Lonchura striata: one gene and its partners. The protein of the gene in region 2 purifies or fractionates together with the protein of the main gene of each other region. This does not show direct contact. Links are inferred from orthologs where the notes say so. Each region holds a gene or a part of one and is shown on either strand. Other genes may lie near its edges.

Evidence for each region.
Region 1: the proteins of RACGAP1 (region 2) and SHCBP1 purify together in Homo sapiens (affinity purification with mass spectrometry; 8 studies listed by BioGRID and IntAct, counting the BioPlex papers as one, with this or other methods). This does not show direct contact. The link is inferred for Lonchura striata from reciprocal best matches to the Homo sapiens genes RACGAP1 and SHCBP1.
Region 3: the proteins of RACGAP1 (region 2) and FAM98A purify together in Homo sapiens (co-immunoprecipitation; 3 studies listed by BioGRID and IntAct, with this or other methods). This does not show direct contact. The link is inferred for Lonchura striata from reciprocal best matches to the Homo sapiens genes RACGAP1 and FAM98A.

What each region holds. Positions count from the first base shown.
Region 1 is NC_134615.1:9,849,903-9,857,212, forward strand, and holds the start of SHCBP1 (SHC SH2 domain-binding protein 1), read right to left. Parts: upstream 3,073-7,310; coding exon 2,979-3,072; intron 2,475-2,978; coding exon 2,286-2,474; intron 1,789-2,285; coding exon 1,673-1,788; intron 1,034-1,672; coding exon 825-1,033; intron 35-824; coding exon 1-34. UniProt on the Homo sapiens protein: May play a role in signaling pathways governing cellular proliferation, cell growth and differentiation. May be a component of a novel signaling pathway downstream of Shc. Acts as a positive regulator of FGF signaling in neural progenitor cells.
Region 2 is NC_134629.1:8,762,194-8,769,914, forward strand, and holds the start of RACGAP1 (rac GTPase-activating protein 1), read right to left. Parts: upstream 3,113-7,721; 5' UTR 3,054-3,112; intron 1,641-3,053; 5' UTR 1,637-1,640; coding exon 1,552-1,636; intron 1,072-1,551; coding exon 869-1,071; intron 533-868; coding exon 396-532; intron 195-395; coding exon 125-194; intron 1-124.
Region 3 is NC_134605.1:35,871,033-35,878,029, forward strand, and holds the start of FAM98A (protein FAM98A), read right to left. Parts: upstream 3,073-6,997; 5' UTR 2,995-3,072; intron 2,802-2,994; 5' UTR 2,776-2,801; coding exon 2,723-2,775; intron 1-2,722. UniProt on the Homo sapiens protein: Positively stimulates PRMT1-induced protein arginine methylation. Involved in skeletal homeostasis. Positively regulates lysosome peripheral distribution and ruffled border formation in osteoclasts.

The DNA of each region.
Region 1 (7,310 bases), on a different chromosome or scaffold from region 2:
GTCCCAGGTCCTCCAGATGTACTGGTAGAAAAACCTTTGGAAGGAAAGTGTCAAACCACACAGGAGAGAAGAGTCAAAGCACTGGAAACACAATGTAACCAATTTGAAAATTCACCTCAAAGCATCACCTCTCACTAGAAATTCATATTACTGTCCCATACACTGCTCAGTACATACAAAGTCATCATAGAGTTCTATTCTGTGTGTCTAAGCTCAGAATTCATAATAACCTGTGTTCTACTTTCTCAAAAAGGAGTGAAACCAGCCAAAACCTGGTTTTGAAAAGCAAGACTGACACTCTTCAGATTCTGAGGCTTTCTGGTTACTTGGTTTTGGCCAATCACCCCTCAGCTAATCTTTCTTTCTTACAATGTAGGTCATTCCTCCTATATCAGTTTTTTTGTCCAGTCCTACAGCTTATTTGTAGAGATTTCAAACAGCATGTAGTGCCTGAAAGAAAAGGAGGTGGAAAAGAGACAGATAATAAAGAAGAAAAAAAATAATATGTGAAGAGACACCTAAAGAATAAAGAGCAAATTTAAGGGAAGAGGCAAAATGCAGAAAAATGAATGGGACAAAAAAAAAAAAAAAAAAAAAAAAAGAGAAAAATCCACCAAAATGTTATTGAGGAGAAAGAACAGTATACTAGTCAACAGGTGATACAGTCCAAGGAACTCTGTGGTGAAAAAGAGAGAGGGAAAGCAGTCTCCTCAGAGCACCAGTCATCAGATTTACTTTGGAAAGCTTGGCTTGTGGAGCTGCCAGTATGGCCCAAGAATTCAGGACAGAACCCACTGGGTACCAGCAGGGTGCAGTTGTCCTACCTGACATGCTCTATGGCTAGTGCTGTCTGGTCAAACTCTCCTGACTCATCATATACAACCCACAGCTCCTGCAGCAGGATCTGATGTTCCTTCAGCTCCAGGAGCTCCTGCATGCACTCCAGGGTAAAGCTGCTGTCCTGGGACTCGCACAGGAAGGGCTCACTGAGCTGCACAACTGCCTTCAGGGCTGGGAAATTCACATCAACCACCTGTGGGAACAAACAGCTCTGAATCCCTCAGAAGCCCGGATCAGCTGAGGGAGGGGAACGTGATGTGCCTCAGCCAGGGCCATGCCGGGTCCCCACTGACCCCACACAAACCAACAGAAACGGTACCATACAGCCAAGGCCATCTCATCAGCTGAAGTGATAACCCAGAGTTAAGCTTCTCACAGCCCCACAGCTAAAGTGCCTTTTCCACATCCAAAACTTCATTCAAATCCCTCATAATACTCATAAGAAGGCCATTAAGTTGCTTCCACCCCTCCCTTTCTTTTTGTGTTGGTGTTTTTAAAAAATGGCAGAAGTGATATCCTCAGACTCAAATCAGTATTTCACAGCCCTTTGGGACTCCTTTGAGGTTCATTTTTCAAAGTGCCCACAGGACACAAACAATCCAGAGACAGTCTGGGCCAGTGAAAGCCATTCTGTCACTAACTGGGCAGAAAAGAGCTGAGGGGGTCACAAACTTTTTCCCTCCTCAACCATGTGATGGTACCGCAAGTTTAAATATCCAAGGTTTGCAAGACAGACATACGACCTGGACATTGAGAGACTTAGAAGTCTGTTAGAGAGGTAAATGATGTTAAGTGGAGACAAATGCCTGAGCAGCAGCAGCAACCCACTCACCCTAAGGAGGACCTCAAACACGTTAGTGCGCCAGATCGCCTGCCAGCCAGAGGGCTCAAGGACCTTCTCCAGGTACTCAGCTATGAACTGCTTCACCTCAGAAGCTTTGCAGTCAGCTAAAAGAAATTGAAGACACTGTTTATGCAAGGAGTGGAAGAAAACTCCAGATCACTGGAAAATGAAAGTCAACACAATTGAAATGTTCCTCTACCGCCTCTAAGTTGGACTGCATTATACTATGCTCACGATAACAGAATATTAAATACAACAGTATTAAACACATAACCTGTGCCTTATCTTAAAGAGATTTACAATACACAAAAAAAATTAGGAAGATAGCTAAAACAAGGTACACGATCCACAGCTTACTGACAGTTCTGCCTTTCCATCATTCATAGTTTATTTACTTATATCAAAATTACTGCCTCCTGGTTCACCAGCTAGAGCAGCTGAGGTTACAGCATAAGTGATGGCAGGACACTCTATCTTTTCCTCCTTTATTAAAGTCATCTCACGGCTTAAGACATACAATTAACTCCACTTAAACTGAATTGTTTAAAGTTACTACAAGAAACCCAAGTCTGCCTTACTTTCCTATGAAAAAATTACTTACACAAGATATAATCCTGGTAAGCGCTGAATCGGTCATAAAACAAAAGATGATTGGTGTGGAAAATATCTGGGAAAAGCACGTTCCCGTCTGGCACCGTCCTTCCCAAAGCAGTCCCTGGTTTGTCACGACTGCCATAGTCACTCCAGGAGTCAGCACTCCAATCACTCTCGGCATCTTCCCGCTGCAGACCTGCGAAGAGGAGGGGTAAAGCAAACCCCTGTCACTTCGAGCACTCACTCACTCACTCCTGCTCCTGTTCAGCTCCAGGTCTATCACGAGTCTGCTCCTACAGCACGCCTTAACTTAGCCCTGCTGAAGCGTTTCAAACCCACATACGTTCCTGGGCGCCCATTTCAGCGCCGTGGTAGGCACTGAGAAACACACTAGAACTTCACGATTAACAAAAAGAAAACTACGCCACATTTTAGTGCTGATTTCCAGAGACATCCCTCCCCTCGTTTCCAGCCCGGTGCCAGGGACGTGCGGCCAAGCGGGCTTACCCTGCATGGGGGATCCGGGCCCCGGCGGAGCAGCGCGGACAGCACAGCCCGAGCCGGCCGCCCTCGTGTCCGCAGCGTGTAGGGCACCTCGGGCACCGCCCGAGCGCGGGGCGAGGGCTGCCCGGCCCTGCCCGCTGCCCGGCCCTGCCCGCTGCCCGCGCCCTCCCTGCCCGCAGGCACACGCCGTCCGTACCCTCGGTCTGCTCGGGGCGGTCCCCAGGGCCGGTGCCTGCCGCCGGCGAGTCCCGGCCGTCCCCCCGCGGTCCCGGCGGCCGCAGCTCCGCCATTCCTCCCGCTCGGCTTCAAACCGCCCGCGCATCTGCCGGCCGCCAGCGCCGCGCCCTCATTGGCTCTCGGCGGCAGCGCCCCGCTCTGATTGGCCGTCGGCAGGCAGCGCCCCGCTCTGATTGGCCGTCGGCAGGCAGCGCCCCGCTCTGATTGGCTGTCGCAGCGGCGGCCGTTGGCGCGCGGAGCCGGGCCGCTCCGGGGCCGGGCGGGACCTCCCCGCTGTCAGCCCTGCCGGGAGCGGATGCACAGCGCCAGGAGAGAAGGAGCGGCTAAGCCGCAAAAAATGTGAAAGCACCCAACAATCAGCACCCTCAAAAAAGAAAAAAAAAAAAAGAAAAAAGAAAAATCAGCAACAAATGAACGAACTCCAGCCCTGGCCGGTTCGTACACAGAAAGCCCCTGATCAGAATGCACAACCCCAGTCTGTTTCACGCCCCGGCGCCTCTCCCGAGGCCACTCCGCGTGTTGGGAGCGGTGACTGATGCGGGGGAGCCGAAGCAGCTGCTCCGGAAGAGCAGCGGCCGGCAGAGGGCTGCCTTGGACCGCCGGCGGGGCGGCTCCGCCCGCCGCCGAGCGCCGCGCGTCCCGCAGCGCCGGCCCGAGCCACCCGACATGACCGCGGCAGGAGCTCCCGTGGGCCGCTGAAACCAGCCCTGCCATCGAAACCCCAAGCAGAGAATGGTTTAGTCCCCAAGAGGATTCTGTTGAATGTTGCCAGAATTTAACCATTATACCGGGCATGGGTGTTTAACCATACACATACAGTTGTCATCTATCACTATTGGTTACAAAACTACAGTTGAACATCTGAATCCTTCCCAAAAGGTTATTGGCAAGGTCAAGCTTTCAAAGCAGAGTGTGTTTGTAAATAGTGTCTTTAAATTGGCATGTTTTAAGTGGAAGGAAGGGATGCCAACCAGTGGGATTTTCACAGGTTGAAAGGGGCCTCTTGGCCAACCTCATGCATTTGAACAAAAGGTTCTGCCCAGGTACAGGCTGGGCAGAGAATGGACTGAGGCTATTCCTGGGGAGAAACTTGGAGATGTTGGTGGATGAGCAACTATACAACCGTAAAATTATGGCTATGGAGGTTCCCATATTTAGATGTTTCGATTCTTTTTCCTCTAAATAGGTACAATGAATTCAGGGACTCCTCAGGGCGTACAGTGGGAAGATCTATTCTTCCTCACCACAGTGAAACAGGCACAATGTTGAGATCAGACAACCCATTTACCCCTATTTGTTTTGTTTACAAAATAGCTGGGGGCAGATTGTGTTCCATTATATAAAACTTACACACTGTTTGGTTAATTATCCCCAGTCCTTGTAAAGTGCTGCTTTACTTCAAAGAAACACAACCCTGGCCATTGATTTCCAGAGCCACTGATTGCTGCTGCCAAGTGTCATCAACATACTAAGCTCCATTTGGTCAAAAAACTCCTCTGCAGGTGGTTTCCTTCCCATCATACTGGAAATAGAAACAGTCCTCTTATTGTTGGAAACCTTCCACTTTTCAGCTAGCATGTCCATGCAGAGTCCAGACAATCAGTTATTTTCCTGAGCTCAGTTATTTTTCTCCCTACAATGTTTATCCATCCAATTTATTATTGAGCATGAATTAGTGCTCTTCTGAACCTCATTTAGCAATTCACCGTCTCCTTTTGCACAGCACACTTTCCTTTTACCTCAGCTACTCTATTTTGCACTCTTTCCCAAGCTTATTTTTTTTCCCCTGTAAGACTGACCAGGTCTGTGTGAAGTCCAGAGGACTGGCAGTATCTTACATGGAACAATGACACTCCTGAGTTTGAGAGGAGGAAGAGAAAGTGCTTGCCCTCACACTCTGTTCTCAGCTCTCACACTTCTGAATGAAATCTCACTGCTGTTGCTCCTGTGAAAGGGATGGATCACTGAGATGTTTCTAAAATCCCCAGTCTTATCTTGGAGCCCAAATAGATTTTTTCACCTGCTGTATCCCTTGAAATGCTAAAACAGTGAGGGATGCTCATATGCAGAACTTTGTCTTTTAAAAATCTGAAATAGGCTTCCACTTCACAACTTGACACAGGAAATAGGGTTTGAAAATCACAGAAGATCATTAATTGCTTTACAGAAATGAATACATGTGCAGCTATATAAGCCTAAAGAAATGCAGAAAGGAACTAGTGTCTTACTGCTAAAAGATAATTGTCTTTTGGTATTTCAGTAACTTTAACTGAAGAAGCTCAATGGTAAAACAAACCCCACATGTGGGATTTGGCTCCTCTGGGTGTCCCCAGACATATCACAGATCACAGAATTTCCAATGCAGCTGCCACAAAGGCATCAGTGAGGCTGTGATGGCTCAAAGCCTGGTTCTAACACACCTCACTAGGTAAGAGGAGCCTCAGCTCTCCACGGTGCAGCCTGGTGGCTCCAGTTATTACAGGTAAGAGCATGCAGCCAACAGGGCCAGGATATCCCTGCCTTCCATATGTGGGTTTACAAAAAAAACCCCATCTACAGGAGTATATGTAGGATAACAAACTCACTTGGTCATTCTCAATCAGAGAATGTGCCATGGATTTCCCTGGAGCAATGTCTGTTCATGACAACTGAAAATCTGACCCAGAGTTAAAAACCTGAAGAAAAATAGGAGTGTTTTAGCCAGTGTCCTGATCAAAAAAAAAAAAAAAAAAAAAAAATCTTCATTCTAATTTGCTGCTGGTACTAATTCTCTTTTGTAGACATACACATATCTCATTTGAGAGTAGAAACTATTTCTGCTTTAAGATGTCTTAAAATAGTATCTTCTTAACCATGTCTTAGTACTAGGCAACCTTAAACTACAAACCAAATCAAAATATCAAATTATTTAATTACATGCAATGACAAAAATTGTTAGTTAATATAAAGCTTGCAAATCAGAAAATGTTTATGAAATGTGCGGAATAAGCAGCTGAGCCAAGCCAGCAGAGATGTGACAGCGATGGGAAAGAAGCAAGTATGCACAAAACAAAAAAAAACTAGAAGGAGACCACTACATAAGACAGCAAAACATTCCTGTGTACCTTTCTCGTTTTGGCACACATTTTCTTTGTTGCCATGGCAATCACTGTAGTCTTTCTAAGCCTCCATTTCTGTGCTGGAAAATGCAGATAATATTTTTTACTGCACATGTTTCAGTAATGCATTTGCAAACCACTTTTATGGCAGGGGATGAATGGTGTCACATACCTGTAGATTGCTGTTAATTAGTTGACTCATTACAGGTTGTGTTAGGTAACTGGTGTTCTTTGACAGGTATCTCTTCAGTCTTTAGATTTTCTTTTGTAGCAGTATAAATTTAAACCACTGTAAACCTAAATGCATTGATTCTTTCCAGGAAAGCAATTGAATTTTTCAAACCTGTTCTCAATTATTTTCAGAATCTTCTCAATATTGGCTTCTTCAGGAATATACTGGGTGGCTTTAGGATTGTTCTAACAGCGACTTTATATTTTAAAAAACCCAATAACTGCATTGCTTATTTGGATTTTCATGTTAACAGACCATTCTTCTCTTGCAATTCACTTTACTGATTCCAAAATTCTTACTGCTTTGCCTGCTGGACATTGTGCTTTTCTTAACCACAAACATGCCTGGTACTGCCAACCACCTAATTTTCAGAAATGCAAGTTTCAGCAGACTGACCTTGCAAACTGAACCTTGTTGTGAGGAGCCTGTTTAGGTTTATTATGCCTCAACAATGGCTGTCAGAGGCACATGAGGAGGGGGTGCACGTGTGCCATGTCCAGGAGGCACCGAGGAGAGGACAGAGGAAAGCCCTGTCTCTGGGGAGCTTTGCCTGGCAGCCAGTTCATGTGTCAGCAGGAGAATCCCAGAGGCACTGTACTACAGAGACACTCAGCAGTCCATGGCAAAAGGTCTCTGCCAATGGACTGCAGTGGGACATTGGCCTGGGCCAACGCACTCCTGTCAGCAGGCAGACTTTGGGAGGAGACAAGGCCATAAAAATAACTGCATAAAAATGAACAGCCTTGGGGGCTGTTCCGTCCTTTGCCTTTTGACTCTTAGGAGCCTTTTTGAACCTGCTTTTCGAGTGTGGGCTTTTGGATAGGGGCTGGGATTTTGCTTCTGAGGCTTGGTGATTGATTCAAGGGGCATTTTTGAGACTTGCTTGCCAAAACTTGTTTTTGAGTCAGGGCTTTTTAAATCTTAAGCTTTTTGCCCTGGCCCCAGTCCTTTGGCTCTCCTG
Region 2 (7,721 bases):
GAAATGCAAATCAGCTCAGCCAGGTTAATATCCCAGTAATCTAAACACAAAGGGTCTCTGGAGATCAACCCCCTCCCCTCGGGCTTTACAGGGGAGGAGAACTTGAGAAATGGAGTTACATTACCAGTGAGTCATCGCTCTTGTCAAAGCTGATGTCTGACAGAATTGAGCCAGATTCATCTATTGTAGACAGCCTAAAAAAACACAAATTAGAAGAAGCTTGTATCAGTTTGGCTTTCAGTCAGTCACGGTTCCAGAACAATCCCACTGACTCAGAAGAGCCGTATTTTAAAGTGGAACAAAAAGGGAAACTGCTGACATGGGTGCAGGATGTGTCACAGGGGCCGACAGCTGGATTGATGCCTGACACTTCAGATGAAATGCTGTTTCCCTACCTTTTGTTGCCTGCACTTCCCACTGAAGCCTGTGGCCTGTTCAGGAAGGCGAGGACAGACTTCTGCTCCTCGCTGAGCTGGATGCTGCCGGAGGCATCACACATGAGCAGCTCCCGAATCAGCTGGATTTGCCTCTCCTTCAAACAAAGATAATATCAGCAGCTGGATACACCGTGTTTAATTACTGTAAGACCCGACCCAGCGCTTGAGATAGCCGAGATAAGCTCTCAGAACTTGTGTCAATGGACTGCTAATGGCTGCAGACAGGTAATGGCAGCTAGGTTCCATCAGCAGCCAGTCTCCTTTCCCAGATCAAAGCAGCAGGCTGCTCCGAGGAGCCGAGCCAATTCCTTGCTTTTTAGTTTTCCTTTCCTCCCCATGGGTGCCAGTCCTTATTTGCCACTGATCAGTGCAGTTTAATCGCCTTGTCTCCACACTCTCAAGAGCTGAGGGGTAACACAGGAATTACTCACCAGCTTCTCACAGTCCATTTCAGCTTTTTGCCTCCTTTTGATCTCCACGTCCACCTGATTGCGGGCATGTTTCAGTTTCACGTCCAGGGCACTGCGTTCAGCTTCTGTCTTCATGAGGCGATCTTTGCACCTGCTGAGCTCCTCCTCTATTTTCTGCCATTTCCTCCGGTTCTCCTCAAAGTTCTTGGCTAACTGAATAAACTCTGAGGAGAAAGCACATGAAGCCTTAGCTGGGCAAGCAGAGGAGCAGCTAACAGCAGCTTCACAAAGAATCCCTGGATTCCTGAGGTTGGAAAAGACCCAATCCCCACCTTGTCACCCAGCCCACAGCACCACGTCCAGCCATTCCTTGGACACCTCCAGGGATGTGTCCAAACCTCCCTGGGCAGACCCCTCCAATCCCCAACTGGCTTTTCCAGGAAGACATTCTTCCTCCTGCTCCCAACTGAGGCATGGAGAAGCCAGCCACACAAGAGATGGCCATGAGCTCTTCCATTTCTCATTTTTTTCTTCCTTTCAGCACCACCCAGAAGAGCTGGAACACAGGACAAAGCCAGTTTGCTACAAGCAGAACGTGACCCTGCATGGAAATTCAGCTGGGACTTGATGTTTCTCCACAAAGGAAGAGCCCAGATCAGTCTGGTTTTAGCATCTTCAGCAGATTCTTCAGGGACAAAACTCACGGCATTCGTTTCCTTCGCTCAGAAGCTCGGCCTGGCGCGTGAGATGCTCGTACAGACCCCGCAGGTTCACCATGGCAATCTCCATCCTCCTGCCAAAAAAACACAGCTGAACAAGCAGCTCAACCCTTCCCTCCCACCTCCGAGCAGAAACCAGCCCAAAGGAAAGAGAACCAGCCTCAGAGTTACTGGTTGTAATGCTTTCAGGCGGGTTTGAGAAGCTGCACAAACAAAATTCATGTTTTATGGAGATATATGCATCTACTTTTTCTCATTGGGAATGAAAATCTACAGCCCTCCACGGTTTATGGATAACAGAGCCTTGGAGAGAGGCAGATCTGCCCACCTTAGTGCTTCCACTGTCCCGCGGCACAGCAGAGACACTCACAACCCAAGGCAAGATGAGGGATCCCAAGTCCTTCCCTTCAGAAAGGTTACAGAACACAGCCCATGCCCTGCCCACAAATAACTTGGTACTATCTAGGCCACTAAAAACCTGCAAGTTTTCAGCACTTTGTAAGATAAAAATAGGAGCAACATTCCGGGGAATTTTAATACAGTTTTATATTTAGCTGCATTTTAACTTACAGCTCCTCCTGCAAATAGCTGTTAAAATTCAACCAGTCAGCACATTTCTCCCAAACAGCAGCAACAACGGCATAAACAGAGGCAGCGAAGGGGAAAGTCTCCAGCTCAGCAAGACAGAAATGATTTCACAAATGAGAGAGGAGCAGGCAGGGCACCAGGGGCTGGGAAATGAGCGAGTGCTGGAAGGCTTGGGAGAGGTGCAGGGCACATAAACCTGCCAGCACAGAAGGCTTTGGGGTACCTGTTCCACAGGTACAGACTTCACAGGGGCATCAACACCTCGATACTTTAATAGGTGCAATACGAGGCGAGAGGAAAAGCTCTGCCCCCGTCGTGCGAACGCACAGCGCGGGGCACGCCCAGCTCGGTGCCTCAATTACCAGCACCAGCATCACCATCATCACCAGCATCACCATCACCACCATCACCGCGACCCCCGAGGCCGCAGGGACGGGAGCAGCCCGGCCCGTACAGCGCCCTCCGAGCCGGGCGGCCGGGGCTGCGACAGCGCCGGGATGGAAGGGCCTGGGCGGGCCCGGGATCCTTCCCCCCAGGGCCCCCCTCAGCCTTCAGGATGCCCCGCAGTCCCCTCAGCCCCGGTTCCTCCGAGCCGGTCCCCGCACTCACCCGAGCCCCTCAGGCTCCCCCGAGCCCCCGGTTCCTCCGAGCCGGTCCCCGCACTCACCCGAGCCCCTCAGGCTCCCCCGAGCCCCCGGTTCCTCCCAGCCGGTCCCCGCACTCACCCGAGTCCCTCAGGCTCCCCCGAGCCCCCGGTTCCTCCCAGCCGGTCCCCGCACTCACCCGAGCCCCTCAGGCTCCCCCGAGCCCCCGGTTCCTCCCAGCCGGTCCCCGCACTCACCCGAGCCCCTCAGGCTCCCCCGAGCCCCCGGTTCCTCCCAGCCGGTCCCCGCACTCACCCGAGCCCCTCAGGCTCCCCTCAGGCTCCGGCGCCCGGGCCGCGGCTCCGGCCCCAGCGGCGCGCGCAGCCCCAACGGCCCCGCGCTCCGGTTTGAATCCGCGCCGCCAGCCAATCGCCGCGCGCCCCGGCTCCCCCCGTCCCCTCCCCCTGCCTCTCGTTGGCTGCGCTCAGTGGGCTCCTTGAAGCCAGCCCGGTGCCATGTCTGCTGAGGGCGCGGTCTGCCTGCCCGGCGGGGCGCGGCTGCCCGCGCGCTGAAGCCGCCCAGGTGCCATATTTTGTGATGGCGGATGGTGCCAGCGCTCGTTGCTTAGCAACGGGGACGCCGGGAGGGCCCGGGACCCTCAGGCCTGGGCCTGCTCCGTGCCCACCGCTCCAGAGGGGCTGTTCGGGGCAGGAAAAGCCCTTCTCAGGCCAAACCGGGTTGTTATTTCCAGCAAAGCCACGGGCGCAGGGCTCGTGTGGGCCTGAGCGCCCCGTGCTGGTTCTGCAAAGGGTCAGGGCAAGGGGCTGGGTGCAGCGGGAGAACGTTGAAATTCACCGTGAGGCTGTTTATGGGGTGCTGTCACTTGAGAAATACAATGCTTTGCCTGCTCCTCGTCTCCAAACTTTGATTTGAGTAACAGCCGGCAACTTGCGCCAAAGGCAAAACCCATTTCAAGCCACGTATGACTCTTCCCTGTGCAGGCGTTTAATATGCAAACAGATAAAACCCAAACCCAACAATTACACAAAGGGAATTCACATAATCATAAAATAACAACGTGCTTTAATCTTTTAAATCTGAAACAAAACAGCGGGTAATTGAAGAATGGATATTAGCAATTAGAAAGCGGAACTAAATGCTGAAAATTGCGCAGTGGAAAAGGGAGTTTGTAAAGCAGATTGCTCTCATCATCCAGCTGCTTTGTTGGAACTGCTTTATTTAGGGTATATAGTTTGTTTTAACTTAATAATAATTAATTTGTAATAGATTGTAAAAAGCCTTAGGATCTTTGGGAAAGTAAATGTTACTGAGGCTTCCTTGAAGAAGAGAGCCAAAATTATCCACATTTATAGGGGAACTGAGGCCTAGAAGAGACACAACTCATCCTCAGAGCCAATGGCCAAGCGAGAGAAAGGTCCTGACCTTGACGTATTAACTTTTAGTCCAGGAAATCACCCAAAATCCCAATTTGCCCCTGAAGTTGGAGGTTGACAGTTACACCTGGCTCTGTGCAGGTACATCCCCCCAATTGTGATGAGGCTCGGCTGCTTCAGCCCCGAGTCTCCTGCAGCTCCTGCCTGTAATTAAATCTTCACAGCTAAGATGCCTCTATTGGCAGATTGTATTTATAGGCAGGCGAGTTGTTTTAGTGTCGTTCTGAAGAGTTAAGGAGGCTTTTTGCTCATAAGCAAATTCTGTTCTCTTTCAAATCGTCATCCGCAATCTCGTGCCAATAAAAAAAAAAAAGCACATTATTTTAGATTATTGCCCCCGCGGTGCTTGTTGTGCGTTACTGCAGTAGGTGCTGGGCTTGTGTTACACAAATTGCATTTCTTCCATATGTGTTCCACCATCGTCCTCCCTCTGAATCGGGAGGGCAGCAGGATCTGAGCACCCCAAAAAGCTTCTCAGAACTGCCCCAACCTGTGCTGTGGACCTGGCAAATGGGCCCCTGCTCTCAGGCCCAGGCTCTAAAACCATTGTGGAGTTTCTTTCCTCCTCCTTGGTTGATGAATGATGAGAGCACAGAGATCAGCAGCACCTTTCCTTTGGAGCTTTATTCCACAGGAGAAGAAAGGCAGAAGGACTGAGGGCCTTTTCAGGAGCTGCTTTATGGCAAAGTAATTATATTCTCTTTTTGTTTGTGTCAGGAAGAGGGGGGGAGAAGCCTTGAAATGTCTCATCTGGGAAACCGTTAATAGAATTTATGCTAATTTGATGATTCCGGCGATTACTGGCGGAAGCACTTCACATTCTCAGGCAGCAGAAATTCTCCTCCAGCTCCTCCCTCAGCCTCGCTGGGTTGCTCTTCAGCCCTTTCTCCTCCAGCCACCCCAGACCCTTCTCTGGGCAACACCGGCTGAGCCCGGAATGTGACCCTGGGATGAGACCCCAGGATGTCACCAGGATTGGTGCTGATGCCAGTGGCATTCCCTGGTGACCCCATTCCTCAATTTTTGGGGAAAATGGAAGGAAACCTGCCCCAGTGCCTCGCAGTGTGCGCAAAGAGCAAAGCCAAACCTCTCCCTGCCAGCCTCATCCTCTGGTGAAGCTTTGCAAACACCGATTGCTCTGCCCAGCTCCTGTAATTAACTCTGCAATTGCAAACCCATTTGTGCAGCTTTGTGCACAGGGGAAACCTTTATTAAGTTCCTTTTAATCCAAAACCAGTTAGACCACGATGGTCTTCATAAACAGTCATTCAAAAAATAAAAAGGCAGGGGGAAGCGAGGGGAATGAGAAACTTTAAGACAGCAACCTTTCTCCAGGGAAAAAAAATGGGGGGAAATTATCTTAGGTGCATTTCTCTTGGTTCATTCATACAGCAGGGGTGTTAAAAAGGAGTTGTTCAGTAGTGTGAGGAAAAAATCCATCAGGCTGGGCAGGGGGGGCAGTTGGAGTTTAGCCAGAGGGAGATGGACCTTTTAGAGAATTAATTTCTGATTTCTCCTGGCTGGCCAGAGCCAGAGGCCGGCAGATGGCATCAGGCTCATGTGCTGGGTGGGAGCTGCAGGGCCTCGGCCATCCCTCAGCTGGGCAAAATGTGGCCAGAGCATCACCCACGGGGGCTGGCAGGAGGGGAATGAGGAGCCCATGGGGTTTGTAACGAGGGGATAAAGGAGCCCATGGGGTCTGTGGGGAGGGGGATGATGAGACCATGGGGTCTGTGAGGAGGGGGAAAAAGGGGCTCTGGTTTTGCCATCAGTCCAGCAACAAACCAGGTTCATCTGTGATGTCCCACCTGAGAGAACCCGGGATGTTTCTTTCATCAACTTTGGGGTGAAGATCACTTGGATGGGATGAGCCAAACCCACCGGTGCATTAATGCCAGCAGAGAAGCCACGGCCTTACCCTGAACTCCTTAAAAAACAAAGGGAGTCTCTATTGCCTTCATCTGGCTTTTAATGAATGACCTCTTGTCGCCGGGAGCTGCGTGCGGTGACAAAGGACCTCTGTGGGCCGATATTTATGATTTCATTTAAGCCGGGGAGTAAGCTAAGGGAGAGGGCTGGGAAATAAAAGCTGAGCTGATGGTTCTGTCTTTAAACTCAAGGGATCTTTATCTAGTTTTTGTATTAATACAGTTGTCATCTCTTAAATATTTGAGCGACTCACAGCCATGAACGCTCCCACGCCGGAGGGACTCATTGACTCCGGCTCTCCCAAGCCCACACCCTCCTCTGGACCCAAATGCTGGGAGCAGGGAAGGGTTTGCATTTTCTCAGTGCCCCCCAAACCCTACCCACACATGAAGCCTGCTGTGAGTGCCCACGACCTGCTTGTGGGGGGCCCCGGGCTCCAACACCCCTCCCCACACCAGCGACTTGCCAACACTGATAAATTTTTGCCTTTTCCTTCGGCAGGCCTTGGTGGAGGATTAAACAGCTGGGAGTCGGGAGTGAGAGCGTGTCCCCTCTCCTTTGCCATGCAAACAGAGAAAATTAATCTTCCAGCTTCCTCTGATATTTGGGCTGAATTACAAGCTGGGAGCGGAGATAAAGCGCGGGCGAAGGAAGGCACAGGTACAGCGGAGCCAGGCTGCTGGCACAGGCCTTTGTCCATGCAGATAACGCTCCCCTCCTGGAGTCATGCATAATTCACCAGCCTGCCTCCCTGTCCTGGTCATCCCTCCCTCCTCTTGCTCGCTCTGTTCTCCCTGAGCAGCTGGAAGCTCCATGTCCGAGCGAGCCATCGTGTGTTTGTGTGCAGAGACACATCAAATCTCCCTGACAGCATGGGTCTTGTTGGGACAAAGGTAAAGGGACCTTGTGCCCTCTGCCTGGAGGCTGATGGAGCTGTGGGTGACACCTGTGCTGGCATGGGACACTGGTGTCACCCTGCAGTCACACCTGCAATCCATCCAAGGCACAGCAGCACGCCCGCTCCTGCCAGGGCCGGGGCTGTGTTTGAGATGCCCATCACATCCCAGCTGTGCTAACCACACTATCTCCCTAAATCCCTCCACGTTACACTTGGAGAGAGGTTACATCCTCCGGGATACCTGGCCCAGCATTAACAGACACCAACTGCATTTTATTTGGTCGATCATCCGGAGGCTCTTGACAGAACTGTGCCACACAGAGCGGGAAAGCCATGGAGGTTTTCCACAGCCACCAGGAGTTCCTCTCCCAGAACAAAACAAGAACAACCTCGGTCACTCCCAGCCAAACAGCAAACAAACACACACACACACACACACCTGCTTAATGATTTTTGCTTTGTAAACCAAAGCGGTGCCATGAGTTTAATAACCACTGCTTGGGAGTAATTGGGGCGATTATTGTATGGCCCAGGGGGAAAATTGCAGCTTGTTATCTCCAGGGAGTAGCATTAGGATCCAGCAGATAATCAGACCGTTATTTGTTGCACTTCAGAATGACATTTCTCATGGATTTAAAAACGATAGTGATCAAGGCATGTTGTCAGAGCCACTGCCAAACTGCAGAGTCCAGAGACCTGGAA
Region 3 (6,997 bases), on a different chromosome or scaffold from region 2:
ATCAGAGTAAACTCAGAATTTGTGTGCACATTAACTTACCATCACAAAAACTGTCACAAAATTGCATTGTCAAAAGTTTCCTCCACAATATTACCATGTATAGTGGCAACTTCACTGCTGCCACCTCCTGAACATGTTACAGACAACAGACCTATCCAGGGCAACTGCAGTCTCAAAGAATCCTTCCTGAGCTCTACATACTGCTTTACAGTATGTTAAATAATTACTGCTGAACAAGTGCATCTTTACTGTCATTTCCTATCACATATGAAAGGGCTGCCTTACAAAACAAAGCCTTTGATAGAAATATTACAAAAGTGATCTGCATAACAATATCATCTCTTGAAAAACCAACCTCCCTAAATATACACAAGAAAAATTAATGGAATTGGTTCTTTGCATAAGCAAAATAAGCCAAAAATCAGACCTACCGAAAGAAAGCATGTGTTTACAGATCAGATCTTAGAAAACTGAGTTTTCAGAACATCTGTGTACTGACCATCTCTCAGGGGGAGAATGAAGAGTAGAGACAAGGCTGCCTTATTAACCAGGTAGAAGCACAAGTCAGAGTTTACTTCAGTATTTTAGAAAAAACACGTACAATATAATTTTGATATACTGCCCCCAAAAGACAAAGACATCCAAGAGTGCTCATAACTAAACGAAATCTCTCTTGGGAACTTCTGGGTAAAGTCATCCACTACCTCACAACAATCCAACAAGTCCAGGCAACTCTTGGCAAACCTCGGCAATAAAAGAACATCTCAAATTGAAATGAAATTCTCCTCACTCTGCTCCTGTGCTTAATACGACATACAAAGGATTTGGCCTTCACTGTAGTGGCCTGTTACTTCAGCCAAGTAAAATAAAGAAGCCACGCTCAAAAATAACTTTTACCTCACAGAGCAGCTTGATTGGTGACACAGTTAATCTACTGGCAGCTGGACAGAAGCTGTAATCTCATGTATTACAACCCTACTGCATGACCACAGCAGGCTGGACACTTCAAGAAGCTAATCAGAGCAAGTTTCAGTCCCATCCCATCTCTACATGTGTAGGTCTAGGAACATCTGGGACTCAAAATAGAAGCAGCCAGTTACAGGTCAAAGTAGCAAGGAAGCAATGGAAAGCCTTTTGCTTTGGCAGGATTGGGATTTAAGTCCCTGCTCAGATCTTCTAGAGGCACCTTTTCTAGAAAGTTTTTTTAACAGAGGTAATGTCTTGAGTGTGTAATTTCTTATAATTATGACTTCAGCTACACATCAATCTGGCCAATAATCCAACTTGCAGATTCCTAATTGCAAGCAGCTTTTTCCTTCTGTTGCTGCCAATGACATGTGTTCCAGAGCTATGCTCTCTTTTGGTAACTTCGTGCTATCCCATCTGTTTGCTCTTTCAACAGTTCAACAAGCTGATGTACAAGACAAGAGGCCACCATCTGAACACCTCGAGCACAACTAGAAAAAGAAACAGCTCTCTAACATGTACTGATATAAGAAAAAAAAATCAAGTGATATATTAGGAATATCTTCAGTATCTGATGAGAAAAAATAAGATGAACCATGAAGACCATGGAGCTACTGCCAAAACATAAAGCCTCAAACACCCGTCTTTCCAGACACCAAAAATCAGAAGTCCTTTAGACACGTGCAATAGTTTTCCCAGTTGTTCCCAATATTGCTGGGGTCTTATGTCTTTCATGCTCAAAATTTTCTTTTTTTTACTGTTGTCAATTTTGCTTCATATAATTTATTTGTTCATCTACTTTCACTGTTCGCTTTACGCATTTACGTCAAAAATCAACAACACTTTCTGTCTATAACTGCACAGATCAGAAGCACAAATCACCTTCAAGCCACTAGTGTCCTTTTAAACACAAAAAAATAAGCCAATCACAGTATTTTCATTGTGAAAGAGATGCCTTTTCACATTTCAGTCAGAGAAATACCTGCTAAAACAGAAATCTATTTGTCAAGCATTGCAACTATCACCACTAATGTAACCTGAAAATACAATCTTTGTTGGAGCATAATGACTCTAGTCACAAAGTGATTTATGGGAATGGGGCCAATGTGAGTAAATACAGCTGTTTGCATGGAACCGGCAGTAGAGTGAAATTGTAGCTGCCTGTCTTCTGAACTCTTAGCAGGTTACAGACTTGGGAGCTTACAGCAGGACATGTTCTCCACGCTCTTCCTTTCATGCTTTTCTTTTTTTATGCAGCCTTTCCTGACTCTGACAAAGTAACAGGTTTACACAGCAGAAGTTTCCTGTACTATAGTACCCTTTAAAATATGTTAAGAAGAAAAACACTTGCTTATTTGCAATGCTTTTTACTCTTTCTCCGCCCTCCCCGCCAAAAAATACTAAGCCTGAAGGCTTTTTTATTGTCTAACGTATCTCTTTATCCCACCCCACCCTCAGCTAGGGCCGCTGTGCAGAACAGAGCAGCAACAGACCAGATGGCATCCAAGAATCGAGGGGATCAGCTCGCACGGAGAAGCGAGAGACTCGCCAAGGCCATGCAGCTACAAGCCTGCGCGTCTGGCTTGGGGCATCAGCAGCAGCCCGGCCCTGAGGCCGGCTGTGACCAAAAGGACCATTCCATGCACTGCCCCGAGCCGCGGCCCTCCGGAGCGGCAGCGGCCCCGCCCGTGCGGGGCGGAAAGCGTCGCCGTGTCCCTGCCGGGGCCGCCCCGCGCCCCCAGCCTCGGACACGTACCCTAGGTCCTCCAGCGACTCCAGCACATCGTTCTCCAGGAACTCGAACTCCATCCTGCGGCGGGGCACGACAGCTGGACCTGCGCGACAGCGGGACTCAGCGCTACCAGTTCTCGCACTCCCACCGCCCGCCGTTCCCCCTTCTCCAGCCCATCCCGGCCTCGTGGTGGAGACTCAAGTCTCACCCCCTGCCCCGCGGCGAGGGAGAGCTCCCGGCGCCACGGCCCCTGTCCCGGGCCGCCCCAGCCCGCTGTCCCGCCCGGCCGCACGCACCACGCTCGCAGCTGCGCCGCCAACTGCCGGGCTGGCATCTCAGGGCGGGGAGAGCCGCGCCGAAGGCCCCCGGCCTCCCTCTTCATCCGGCTGCTCTAGGGCCGCCAGCCCCGCTGCCTGATCGGCGCCGCCCCCGTCCGCGGCGGTGTCCGCCTATCCGCCGAGCGGAACACCATTGCTAAACTGGGACGCGGATGCGAGGCCGGATAACAGGCCGTTCTTGCGGGAAAGGAGCCCGGGACGAGCCGAGGATCTCACTTTTGTGTTCAGGCGCCGGTAGGGCAGACCCGGAAGCGCAGCCCGCGCAGGAATGTGCTGCGGCGAGCGGCGTCGCGGCAACGGGCGGGGGCAGGGGGATAGGACGGGGCGGCAGAAGGGTCAAATCGTGCCAGGGAACGAGAGTCCGTCCCCCCCTTTCAGGACCCCGAGCTACGGCCGGGACCACAAATCCCGGCATGCCTTGCGCACGACAGGGCGGGAGGCGGCTGGCGCCGAATAAAATTAATAAAATTCATAAAATTAATAAATCGATGCCGGGCACGCAGCAATCCCACAGAAAGCACGTCAGTGCTGGAAGGGAGGCACGGTGAGAGGTTATGTTGGGATGGCTACACCACGCTGGGAAAAGCCAAAACCATTCGTGCCAAAAATTATGCCAGTCTGTCACCAGTAGCGAGCTGGTGCTGCAGGACCGACTCCTGTTCTTCATGAAACTGCCCTTGGCAGGCACGGTGAAGAAAAGCTGCAGTCAAAATATGAAGGATCTTGTAGCCTCAAGATAGGTAGGAAGATAAAGAATAGGCATTGTAGTCACCAGTTATATTACTAAAGACATGTCAATTTACACATTTGTAGGAAAATTGCCTCCTAAAGACTAAAATCTTAATGTCAGATGAATAATACAGGCATTCTGCTTTGTGTATTTGCTTTTAGTTGTATAGTGGTTAGTATAGTGTGGCCGCAGCCCACTCTGATTTTTTAAAAATAAAAGAGATAAAGGCTTCTGGCAAGCTGCCTTATCACTGCTGAGCTCTGAGAATTAACTGATTTTCCCTTTGTCCATTCATTTTTGATCCAAAGTATCTCAGGTGTTGTGCTTGGGAGCCTTGGCAGGGTGGGTAGCCTAAACTGGAGATCTGGGCAATTAGGATTTTCCTCACTAATTCAACACTGCTCCTGAAAGCTATGACCTTTTGCTTGTTTGGTCGACTTGGCGGGTTCTGTTTGGTTTTTGTTTTGTTGTTTTGCTTTTGTTTTTTTTTTATTTTTATGTAATGGTTGGATTCACCTTGCTTGCACAGGTGGAAGTGTACAAAGCTGGGTAGTATGTCCACAGAGTGTGGACTCTGCTCTGCTGCTTGTTGTCATGATAATGTTTACCCCTTATTTCTGAACCTTCTTTTTTCTTGCCCTAAATATAGGGTTTAAAAGCATTCATAGGAGCAAGCAGTACATGAAGTAATTAATTTTGTCACATTGACACTGTTCCTGTGTCCACTCCTGAATCTGCACATGTTGAGATACGAGGATTTTGTGCTAATTTCAGGAGGACATTTACTGTCATCTTACATTTACTGCTCAGATGAGCATTGGCACAGAAGGGTCATATTCATCTTGGCACCCAGCTGATGACATCTGCCTTCTGAAACAAATAAAAGTATTTCTCTCAGGTTCAGTTGTGCCAACACTGCAGGGTAGGGACAGTCTGGTAGGCATCTCCTCCAGTCTGTATCACTCAGTTCCATGACTGCTTTAACATCCCTTCTGTGCTGTGAGGACCAGCAGTTTCTTGAAAAACAGAAGGATCTTGTGGCTGGGGAGAAGAACAGTTGGAGGTGTGATGCTAGCTTGGAGCAGGCAGCTACAATTTTCTCCTGGGGACGGGGATGAGAGTTTTGTTTTGTCATTGTCTCTTATCAGTCATGACTTTTTCTTTTCCTACCAGCCTAGGGTTTTCACCACACAAATTTTGGAGGCATGGGAGGTGTGAATGGCCACTGTGCAGCATCCTGACCCCCTAGAAGAAATTAATTTTGCAATTGGACAGTTTTTGAGTACTTCTTGAACAAAATAATATTGTCCTGAGAAGTTTGCTGTTGCACAATGAGATCCAGAGCTCTGCAGACAGGTTACTTCTGAAAGCAGCAGCCACTCTGGCTATTGGCTCAGGGAAGAGCTGTAACTGGGGTAGATTTCCCTAAGCTACACAAGGCTCTGCAAACTTGTCAACCTGCAGAACTGAGCTCAACTCTCCTTGGGTTTGTTCTCTCCCTGGGGTAGGCTTGTTACATCTACTTCCCTCCCCACCCTGACTCACAGAGAGCTGCAGGACTGGGAATCCAATGTCCCTCAGGCAGCTTGACCGCAATGCCCTGGCTGGAGCCATCCATGGCTCCCTGCACTATGTCACCACTGGAAAAGCCATGTAGTACTGATTTCTCCTATGGGAAGAAGAAAACCAGCCCAGACTGCAGCTGTCCTCTTCATGGAACCCCTCTAAACCCCTCCTGGCCCCTTTAGCCCTGGAGGGATGGGGATGATGTGGTGGATATTGGTCAGGTGCTTCCAGGCTGCTACATACAGGTTAAGGAAAAGGCAGTTCATGCATGCCCTGAAGCTCTGCAACCCAAATATATTTATTCTGAGAGGTATGAGGTGCTCCACTGCTTGGATGCCAGTTGTCATTAAACAAAGACAATTGGTTTCCTGTGTACTTGCCTTTTGTGATTGATTTGTTTTGATGTTTGAGATGCTGTGAGCTCTGACTGAAGATAAACTACTTCCTCCTGTGCATATTCTCTCACAAGTAATAAAGTAAGGCTGTAGCCCCTCCTTCAGCTTTGCACCAAAAGAACCTGTCACCAGTGTAGAGGAGGCTTGTTGAATTTGCCCAGGTCACTGAAGACACACCCTGATGGTTCAAACCTCACTTCCACAGGAAAGCTAGCCAAAACCAACAACTTTAAGGCAGGGTTTATTTCATTACAGACAATTTATTTTCACAGGGTTTACACCACCCCACCTCAGGTTGGCTCTGTGGCTGTCAAAAATCCCATGACAGAGACATTAAATATGAAATCTGTACTTACAGAATAGCATGAAACACACATGAGTGTTACCAGATGCAGAGTGGTAAAGTGCTGCTAAGCACTTTTGTATCAAAACCGATTTTTTTACTGATTTCTGCAGGATGCTGCAGTTTCTTCAGTGTCTGGATGCAACAGAATCCAGCCACTGTGCTGAAGCTAAAAGCCCACTGTCTGTCAGACATACAGCTGGATTTGCCAGGTATCAAGGAATGTCAGTTCTGGCTCAGAGCATGCTGGATACCATGAAAGATCAAGAGCAGGACAATGACAAATGGCACTTCCCCTACTACTCACCCAGCTTTTGACTACTTTCAGCTCTCTGGACTTTCTTCAGTCCTTACTGCTGTGCCATGAGAGGATCAGAGGATCTGACCAGAGGATCTGCCTGAGAGGATCAAAGACCAGAGGGTACCAGGGCCAGCTAACAGGGGAACTGCCCAAGGCTGGATATTGAGTGGATGTGCAGTCTGTGGGTGCCAGCAAACTAACTGGGGCAGTGAGCCTTGAGGTCTTGCCATGATCAGGTATCTGCAGCTGGATGGAACAAGGATCCAGGGCTGACTACTGGATAAACGAGCATCTGTCCTGTTACTAAAAGGCCCATGCTGTATGTCTTCTCTGTATGTTCCACTGCACACCTTCATTCCAGAGAGGGGAAGAGGATTATGGCATTGGTCCTGTTTCCATTTGCAGAAGTGCTGTTTTCTAGTTTTATATGTGTTTGTCTGTGTGGCTGGCCATGTGCACACACATCAGCGTGTTTGTGTGCTTACTGGGAGTACACACACAGCCTTCATGCTGCCTAGACCTGGCGAGACAAAGATGCAGGCAGCTTCACTTCTGTTGTGCTACCAGGTTTATCAACTCCAACCAACACTTCTACTGCAGGCAGGAGGTAATTTCTGCTAAAGAAC